2 linked regions of the Pelodiscus sinensis genome follow. The protein of the gene in region 1 purifies or fractionates together with the protein of each later gene. This does not show direct contact. Links are inferred from orthologs where the notes say so. Each region holds a gene or a part of one and is shown on either strand. Other genes may lie near its edges.

Region 1 (3,910 bases):
ATGACATCGAGACATCTGATTACCCTGAGCAAAACTGCTGTGAGGTCTCCAGTATGTCCGAACAAGAATTCAGATTACACAGCTGGCCCATCCAGTCTCTTGCTTTAACCACTGGACTACACTCCTATCCAAGCTCTCAGTAGGAGAGCCCCCCAGGCCACAGAGGTAAGCTCACAGTTCCCAGCGCTCACCAAGACACTCCACACTCACGTCCATTTTAATGCTATAACTGGTGGTTTTATATTTAAAAACCAACCAACCCACCCTGGCCCATCATGGCTAGAAGGTGCAGTTAGTTTTTTTTTCCCAGGGGATGCTGGAAATGCCCCCCAGGCTCCCAGGGGATGGTGCAGCAGCCAATTCTAATGTAATGCAAAGGGGAAAGTTCAATGCGAAGTGATGCTGGTTTATTTCGTTTAAAAACGACCCCCTAATCAACGGAACCATCGCAACGGAGAGCCCCCCCCACACCCCAAGTCCAGCGCGTCGGGGGGGGGGGGGCAGAGAGGAAGGGACAAAGCAGGAGGTGTGCAACATCCTGCCCAGCGAAGACTCGCCCCCCGCTAATCAGACTCAGTCACAAAGGGGCCTTTCTCTCCCCAGCCTCCTCCCGGGCTGGGAGCCTCCGCCGAACTGGGGGCGGCTGGCTTGGAAGCGCGGGGCCCCTCCCCAGCCGGGAGGAGATGAATCCTCCCCTCCCTCTTAACCTGCCCCTTGCTGCCCCCCATCCAGCCAGCGCGCCCACGCACCTCCCCTTCCCCAACAGCAGCTCAGCCCCCCAGCCCTGGGACCGGCCCCACCCACCCTCTGCCCTAGGCCGCTGCCCGCTCCCCCTCCGGCCAGGCCGCCGCCGGCTGCTACCTGCCGCCGCGCTCCCTTGGCACCGGGCCGGGATGGGCGGTTCAGCCCGGGCCGGGCCCCTCTCCAGTGCGCCCGGCGCGGGCTGGGGCGCGCCGGCCCCGGGCTGAGCGGCGAGCGGTCGCGGAGCGCCGCGCTGGGCAGCCGGGGAGGCGGGGAGAGGGGCCGGGGGCAGAGCCGCTCCACACCCCAGCGCGCTCGGCAGGCCCCGCCCGCTCGCCCGCCCGGGAGAAACTTTCCCCGGCTGCTTCCTTGGCGCCTTGTGCAGCCGGGCGCGGGAGGAGCCGGGGCGCGCCAGGGCGCGGGAGCCGGGGCAGGTGAGGGGCCCCGGCGCTCAGGACCGCGGAGAGGCGAGCTGGGGCGCACGGGAGAGGGGCGCAGGAGACGGGCAGAGCAGCCGCTTCCCCCCGCCCCGGATGGGGCGCTCGGTGGCTCCCCCGGGCGGAGCGTAGCGCAGGCGAGCTCTCCCCGCCGAGCCGTGGGGCTCCCCCCGCCCCAGCTCTTCGGAGATGGCCGGGAGGCGCTCGCACGCTGCACCTGCGGCGGCCGAGGACACCTGGATCCCGGCGGCAGGGCAGGAGAAGGGCGACGGGCCTCCCGCCGAGGGGCCCCCGAAGAAGAAGAAGCCCAAGGCGGGTTCCACCCTGCGCCGGGCGTTCAGCTGGCTTCGGGGCAAGAGGAAGAAGAAGAAGAGCAGCGGCTCCAGCGCCCACCACGGGGCGCCCCCAGCGGAGGGGGAGGCGGCCTCCAAGGGAAAGAAGCAAGAGGAGCGAGCCAAGAAGAAGGGCAAAGGTAGGGCAGGGTGGAGGAGAGGTGCCTTGGCGAGGGGCTCTTTGCTGGCTGGGTCTCTCCTTCCACCCCTGGTACCACCCAGACGCTTCCCTCTGCCCCCCGTTTGGGGCCAGCTCGCAGGAGCCCTGCGAGGGGTGTAGCCACCCCCACGTTGCCCTCGCTCTTGTTATGGCTGTGGCAGCAGGCCTGTTCCAGTTCCCTGCAATGGAGAATGCCAGGCGCCCCGCGTAATCTCATTCCTCCCCGCGGGGAGGTTGCCGGTTCACTGGGTATGTTCTCTCTCCGCTGAGTCAGAAGGTCACAGAGACTGGAAGAAACCTGGAGCTACTCCAGAGACGACCTCAGCCGGGTCTTCGCAGGACCTGTGCTGCTCCAGGTGTAGCCTCTCGCTGCGGCCTAGGGCCTGCTGCCAACATCGCCAGCCAGGCCTTGGCGGGGCCTGGGAAACTGGAGGTGATTCCTCCCCATTACTTCAGGGTGGTGGGTAGGGGCTGCTCTATTGCTGCAGGCCTTCAGCGTCTGGCTGTGGGGTCATAGCCGGAAATGGCAAAGGCCTGTTAGTTCCACTGCGTCCTTTGGCAGGGCAGGATACGATCCCTCCGAGAGTGGGTACCACTACTAAACCCAGGCTCTGCTCATTCCCGCCACTGCTCCTGCATATGACGTGACTGGGGGCTAAGCCCTTCGTCCCCGGTTCTAGACCCTCCTCCAGCCGTCCGGGCGAGGCTATGCCGTGTTGGGGCCGTTCTCCGTTTGCATATGGCCCAGTATAGCAGTAATAAGAAGGAAGTGCTGCTTGTTGTCCCTTCTAAGCTGGAGCTGTTTCGCCCAGGCTGGGCTGTGGTGTCAGGGACCCTGTGTGCGCTGTTGACTCTGCTCACCTGTTAGAACATCAGGACAAAGTCTCTTCTGCCTGGCCTTTTGGAAAAGGGGGGACAGATTCCTGTACTAATCCATCCCATGATTCATTGCCCTGTATTACCGTTCTTGCTCCCGTGCTGGGTGCTCATTACTTTAATTTGCAGGTATCCATAATGTGGGGAGTTGCTGTTTTTTCAGCGGCTTTGTTGCTCTTTTAGTGGTCTGCCATTTATTGCTTTCGAGAGCCCACTGAGAGCTCTTAAGAGAGGAGCAGCCATGGAAACATAAGTTGCTCTTACAAAGAGATCTTTGAAAGATGGCTGAGTTTTCACCTAAAAGTCTCATCAGATGCTACCAGTGCGTCCTGTCAGACTTGTCTGGCTGCAGCTTTCCCCTAGTGTTACGTGCTCAGCTACCACAGTGATGGGCGAAGCGTAGGAACCTGAATATCACCCAGGATGATATTCTTCAAGTGGTGCAACACCAGCATCGGCTCCGTATCTAATCTTCAAAACAAGGCCTGTCCAACCAGTCATTGCTGGAGTTGGGATTGGAATGTAGGAGACCTTGACTCTCTTATAGGCACTGGCCGTGTGTGGTTAAAGCCAGCTAGGATTCCAGCACTGTGCTTCCTTCTAGCATGGCTGCCCAGCCCTTTGGCAAGTGCAAACTGGGTATCTGCCCCCCGCCCGCCCAAACTGCTGGAAATCCCCCACTTCCTGGGACTTGTGAGCCTGTTGTAGGCCTTCCTCTGCTCTGCTGGAGGAAACGTCCCCCTTTTGCGTGGGAGACTGCCGGCTGCGTCTGTGTGCCGTGGAGCTGTACCCCGTACCTAGAGTTCCTTCTGTGTTTCCGTAGTGCAGCCATTTCTTGGCGTGACGGGGAGAGAGGTGTGGAGTGGTAGAAACAAACATGCATGTGAAATGACTGCAGTTTGCGTGCCTGATTAAGTCACCCCCGTCTGCTCTAATAACATGCTGGCTTCCAAAATGCAGAGCGTTGCTGGAACCACACCCTGTTTAACCCTTCCCATCCCAGCGGCTTATCCATTTGAGTTCCAATGTGGTGAAACTTCCATGGATCAGAGGAGTAAACTCTGGGTGGTGATCAAGGAAGCCTGGCTCCATTACTGTCTTGTTCTGTAATCTTGGGCAAGTCGTGGTCCGTGTTTGTGTTGTGAGCCCCTGGAAAAGGGGGGAAACACTTCCCTAGCTCACTAGGGGGGCTGTGAGGATTCTTCACTGAACGTTTGGGCAGCGCTTTGCAGATGGAAAAAGTGACAGCTATTGAAGTGCTAAGTTATTGATTGGGCTCCTCTGTGCGCTAGGGCTGCAGAGCTGTGCCCTGGAGTCAGGTAACACTCAGCTGCCATTGCCTGAAATACTGATCTGGATGGAGG
Region 2 (3,910 bases), on another chromosome or scaffold:
AACCTATGAATCACCACAGGTTGGCTTCTTCTGCAACCAACATCTTCTACTGTCCAAGGCAGCACTAATGTCAACCTGATTGTTGTAATCCATCAATTGCTTTGTTGGTTTCAATATGAACTTTATGCAGTTGATAACAATGCGTGCATTGTCACTTCTTCTCACACACATGGACTTCACCCTCTCCGTCAGGTAAGGGTGATATCTGCTGATACCATTATTGGACCTAACCAAGTGAGTTATAAGATCAAGAACACATATTCCTGCGCATCCAGAAATATAATTTATGCTATCATGTGCCGAAAGTGTCCATCTGCTATGTACATTGGACAAACGTCTCAGACTCTTCGCGAAAGGATTAACGCCAACAAAACAGATATCAGACAGGATCGCAAAGAAAAAACAATTTCTTGCCATTTCAACCAGAAAGGACACTATCTCAACGACTTATCTACCTACATTCTGCTACAAAGACCTTTTACATCTGCACTTGAAAGGGAATCCTCTGAACTGTCATTCATGCTAAAATTCGACCCCAACTACTTTACCCATTACAAAGATAGCTACCTTTCCCCACCTCTAATATCATTAACTCACAGACACTTACCTTCCTCCCCCCCCTGTTCTGAAATGTGATTTGTCCTTTTCATATGTGTTCATTTTTTTAAATTGTATCCTTTGGTATATATGGTTGTGACTATTTTCTTCCATTATTTGATCTGAGGAAGTGGGTCTGGCCCACGAAAGCTCATCATCTAATAAACCATCTTGTTAGTCTTTAAAGTGCTACATAGTCCTGCATTTTGCTTCAGCTACACCAGACTAACACCGCTACATTTCTATTACTATTCTGTCAGATAAGTAACTTTTAACTGCCCTATTTCATACACGAGGAAACCGATACATGCACATATTCAGAGAGTTCTGCGTACCGCCAGGACCCTCGAACAGAAACCATGCATCTGCGCACTAACCACGCTGCGCTAAGTACAGCAGGAGACACTCGATGGAAACAGCCCCTCCCACTCTCTTTGGAGCAACAAGCAGCTCCACCCACTCTCCGTCTAACCACTCCTTTCCCATTCCCATTGGCTGCCCGAAGCCGGCTTTAGAAAACGTCACAATGCCTTCGGCCCCTCCCCCCCAGCTCGACTAGCGAACGAACTGGACTATACCACCTGCCATTTTGAGGGGGTGTGTGGAGAAATCGGGGCTCCCTAATACTCAATGTCACGGATTTTGGGGGAGGCATTCACCTAGTTCCTAGGGGAGGCGGCGAAGGCCGGTCAGGTGTTGAGTAAACAGCCGCCACACGCTTGGCGAGTGTGTCCGGGCCGGGGAGAAGCCCCTCCTCCCACGCGCACACACACGCGCCGCTCTGTGTCTATTGTGAAGCCTTTGGGGAGCTCCGCGCCGCCGCCCCCCAGCTCGCGCCGGGTTCGGGTCCTTCCCCTCCACAGCGAGTCTCTCCAGCAGGGTGAGGCGGTTGGAAGGAGCCGTTTGAACTTCGGATTCGTAGCGAGCAGGGAGCAGCGCGAGCCTCGGGGGCGCTGAGAGGGCGGGGCTGGTCGGCGGCATGAAGGTGTGAGGGGAGCAGCGCGCTGAGCGGCGAGAGTAAGTGCCCCGCAGTCTGCGCCTCCTCCGCCGTGACCTGCGCCCACCGCGGGGAGGGCAGCGGCCCTTCATCGGCCCCCGCCATCCTTCCATCCCCACCCAGAGTGACACCTTCGCCATCCTTCCCCCCTCAGGGTGCCCCCCATCTGCCCTGGGGTGAAGGGAGCAATGGGGGTGAGCCAGTGGGGTCCCTCTCTAGCTGGCTGCAGCTGGTGTTTGGGTGGGGGGTGAGCGCCGAGCCTCCTCCGGCTGTTGCAGGGACAGGTGTGTCAGTTCCTCGCCTCTGGCTGCGGGGTGAGGGTGGTTTTGCACTTTTAGCAGCGAAATGTCTCCCCCCCCCCCCCCGCCTCCAAGTGCAGCACCCAGTGCAGAGCCTCACTCACGGGGCGGGACCTTTCCATTGTTGGGGTCAGTAATTGATGGGGGGGCGTTCGTTGGTTGTCACAAGACGCTCGCTACTACCCTGACCCAGCCACCTCCGCTTAATTTATGTAATGAGGACTGTAGAGGCCAGAGGTGGGAATGGATGATGGAGCTAGATGCGATTTGCCTTTTGAAGAGAAGCAGATTCAATCATACTCACTGGAAATAGCTGCCAATTTGAAAGATTGCTACCATTGTTCCGCTGTTGCCTGTGAGCAAAAGACCTCCAAACAGCAATCCCAACACCATGTAGCCCTCCGCCTCCTCCAGCCACCAAAACATCCATCCCTCTGTGCCAGTTTAACGTGTGGCTACAATAATTATAAAATGTAATAGCCCAAAGTAATCTGTACTTGTATCTTAAGCATGTAGGAAGTCCTTCTAGATCTATTATTCATGTGTCTATGAATGATTTTGTTTCATTCAGTTTTGTGTTTTGGAATCAGAAATAAATATAGTAATTAGATGTTTTAGTTTGCTTTGTGATGTTGGATTTTCACATTTCTAGCAAATATTTCAGTTTTAAAGGAAACCCACTGGATTCCTTTGAAGGTATCAACAAGAGTAAAGCATAGCAAGTAGAAAATGCAGCATGAGGCTTTAATATTTCTTACATGCTGTTTTTAATTTTTTTTTAGTGATCATGGCCACTCTAGAACCAAAGTAGCAGAAATAATATTGACATAAAAATAACTGCAAGACTTGTTTTAGGGGAAATTTCTGTTTTCTAAACCTTTTTTTTATTTCGACATTTGATGTGTACAACTTTTATTTCATCTTTATAAATGGACTATGTATGGTACAATAGCAAAACAAGTTTTGTGATTTACCTTCTGCTTAAACACCAGATGTGAGTTACCCCATATGTGATTTGTTAATTTTGAGAATACAGCTGTCATTGACTCTCATACTGCCTGCCAGCAATTGTTAGGTGATTCTATAAAAGTGCATTCCTTGTTTTCCTGGTATGCACCTACAGGGTGTTGTCTGTAGTTGCATGGTATAGTTGTTGAAAGGTAATAATGTATTTCAAAGTCTGTTTGTCAAACTAATCTTTGGTGTAACATTGCTATTTAAATATTGTATCTCAAGTATTATGCTGCAAATCAATTTATATAAAAGCAATATTTTCTTAATGCTGAATCTCTGTTAAATCAATCTGTGTATATTAATCTCGTACTATCGTGATGGAAACTACAGCTTTTAGTTAAACTCTGTTGTGCTCAATATATTATAGTAAAGTGTAATCATTTAAGGGTCTGGAGTAAAGTCACAGTACAACCTTTAGAATTATTTGCTAGTGTAAATTTGCTATTGTCCACCTGCTACTTCCAGTGAGGTATGTTGTCAACACATTCTTCAGAACTAAAACAATGGGTAGGTCTACATATGTGGTGGTTGTAGGGTACAGATATTGCATGTCCAAGTAGCGTGTCTATAAACAGTGGTAAAGAACAATGATTCTCAACAATGGGACCTCTTCGGAGGGCCGTGAGCCAGTTTCAGGAGGTCCAACAAAATAAACCAGAGAGCAGGAATGGTGCTGGAAACCAGTGAGTATTGGATAGAAAGCCAAAGCTTGGACCCTGCTGCTGAGATCTGAAGCCAAAGCCCAAATAATTTAGCTTTTGTAGAGCCTTGGATGCTTGGTACCCCCAACACCAGCTCTGGCTTTCAATTGATTGGTTATACGGAAACACAGCTGTTGGGGTACAGGTGTGCAGTGACATTTTTTGTAGTATATTGAGAGGTAAGGCCTCAGAAGGAAAACATGTTGAGAACCCCTGGTGTAGAAGGTGAGATACAGCTTTGATGAGCAGACACATCAGAACCTTAAGATATGTACTAGTATAGTCGATTAACTGATAAGCAA

The links.
Region 2: the proteins of NHSL3 (region 1) and WASF1 purify together in Homo sapiens (affinity purification with mass spectrometry; 3 studies listed by BioGRID and IntAct, with this or other methods). This does not show direct contact. The link is inferred for Pelodiscus sinensis from reciprocal best matches to the Homo sapiens genes NHSL3 and WASF1.

What each region holds. Positions count from the first base shown.
Region 1 is NC_134735.1:3,324,385-3,328,294, reverse strand, and holds the start of NHSL3 (NHS-like protein 3), read left to right. Parts: upstream 1-1,367; coding exon 1,368-1,650; intron 1,651-3,910. UniProt on the Homo sapiens protein: Able to directly activate the TNF-NFkappaB signaling pathway.
Region 2 is NC_134713.1:78,569,706-78,573,615, reverse strand, and holds the start of WASF1 (actin-binding protein WASF1), read left to right. Parts: upstream 1-1,158; 5' UTR 1,159-1,614; intron 1,615-3,910.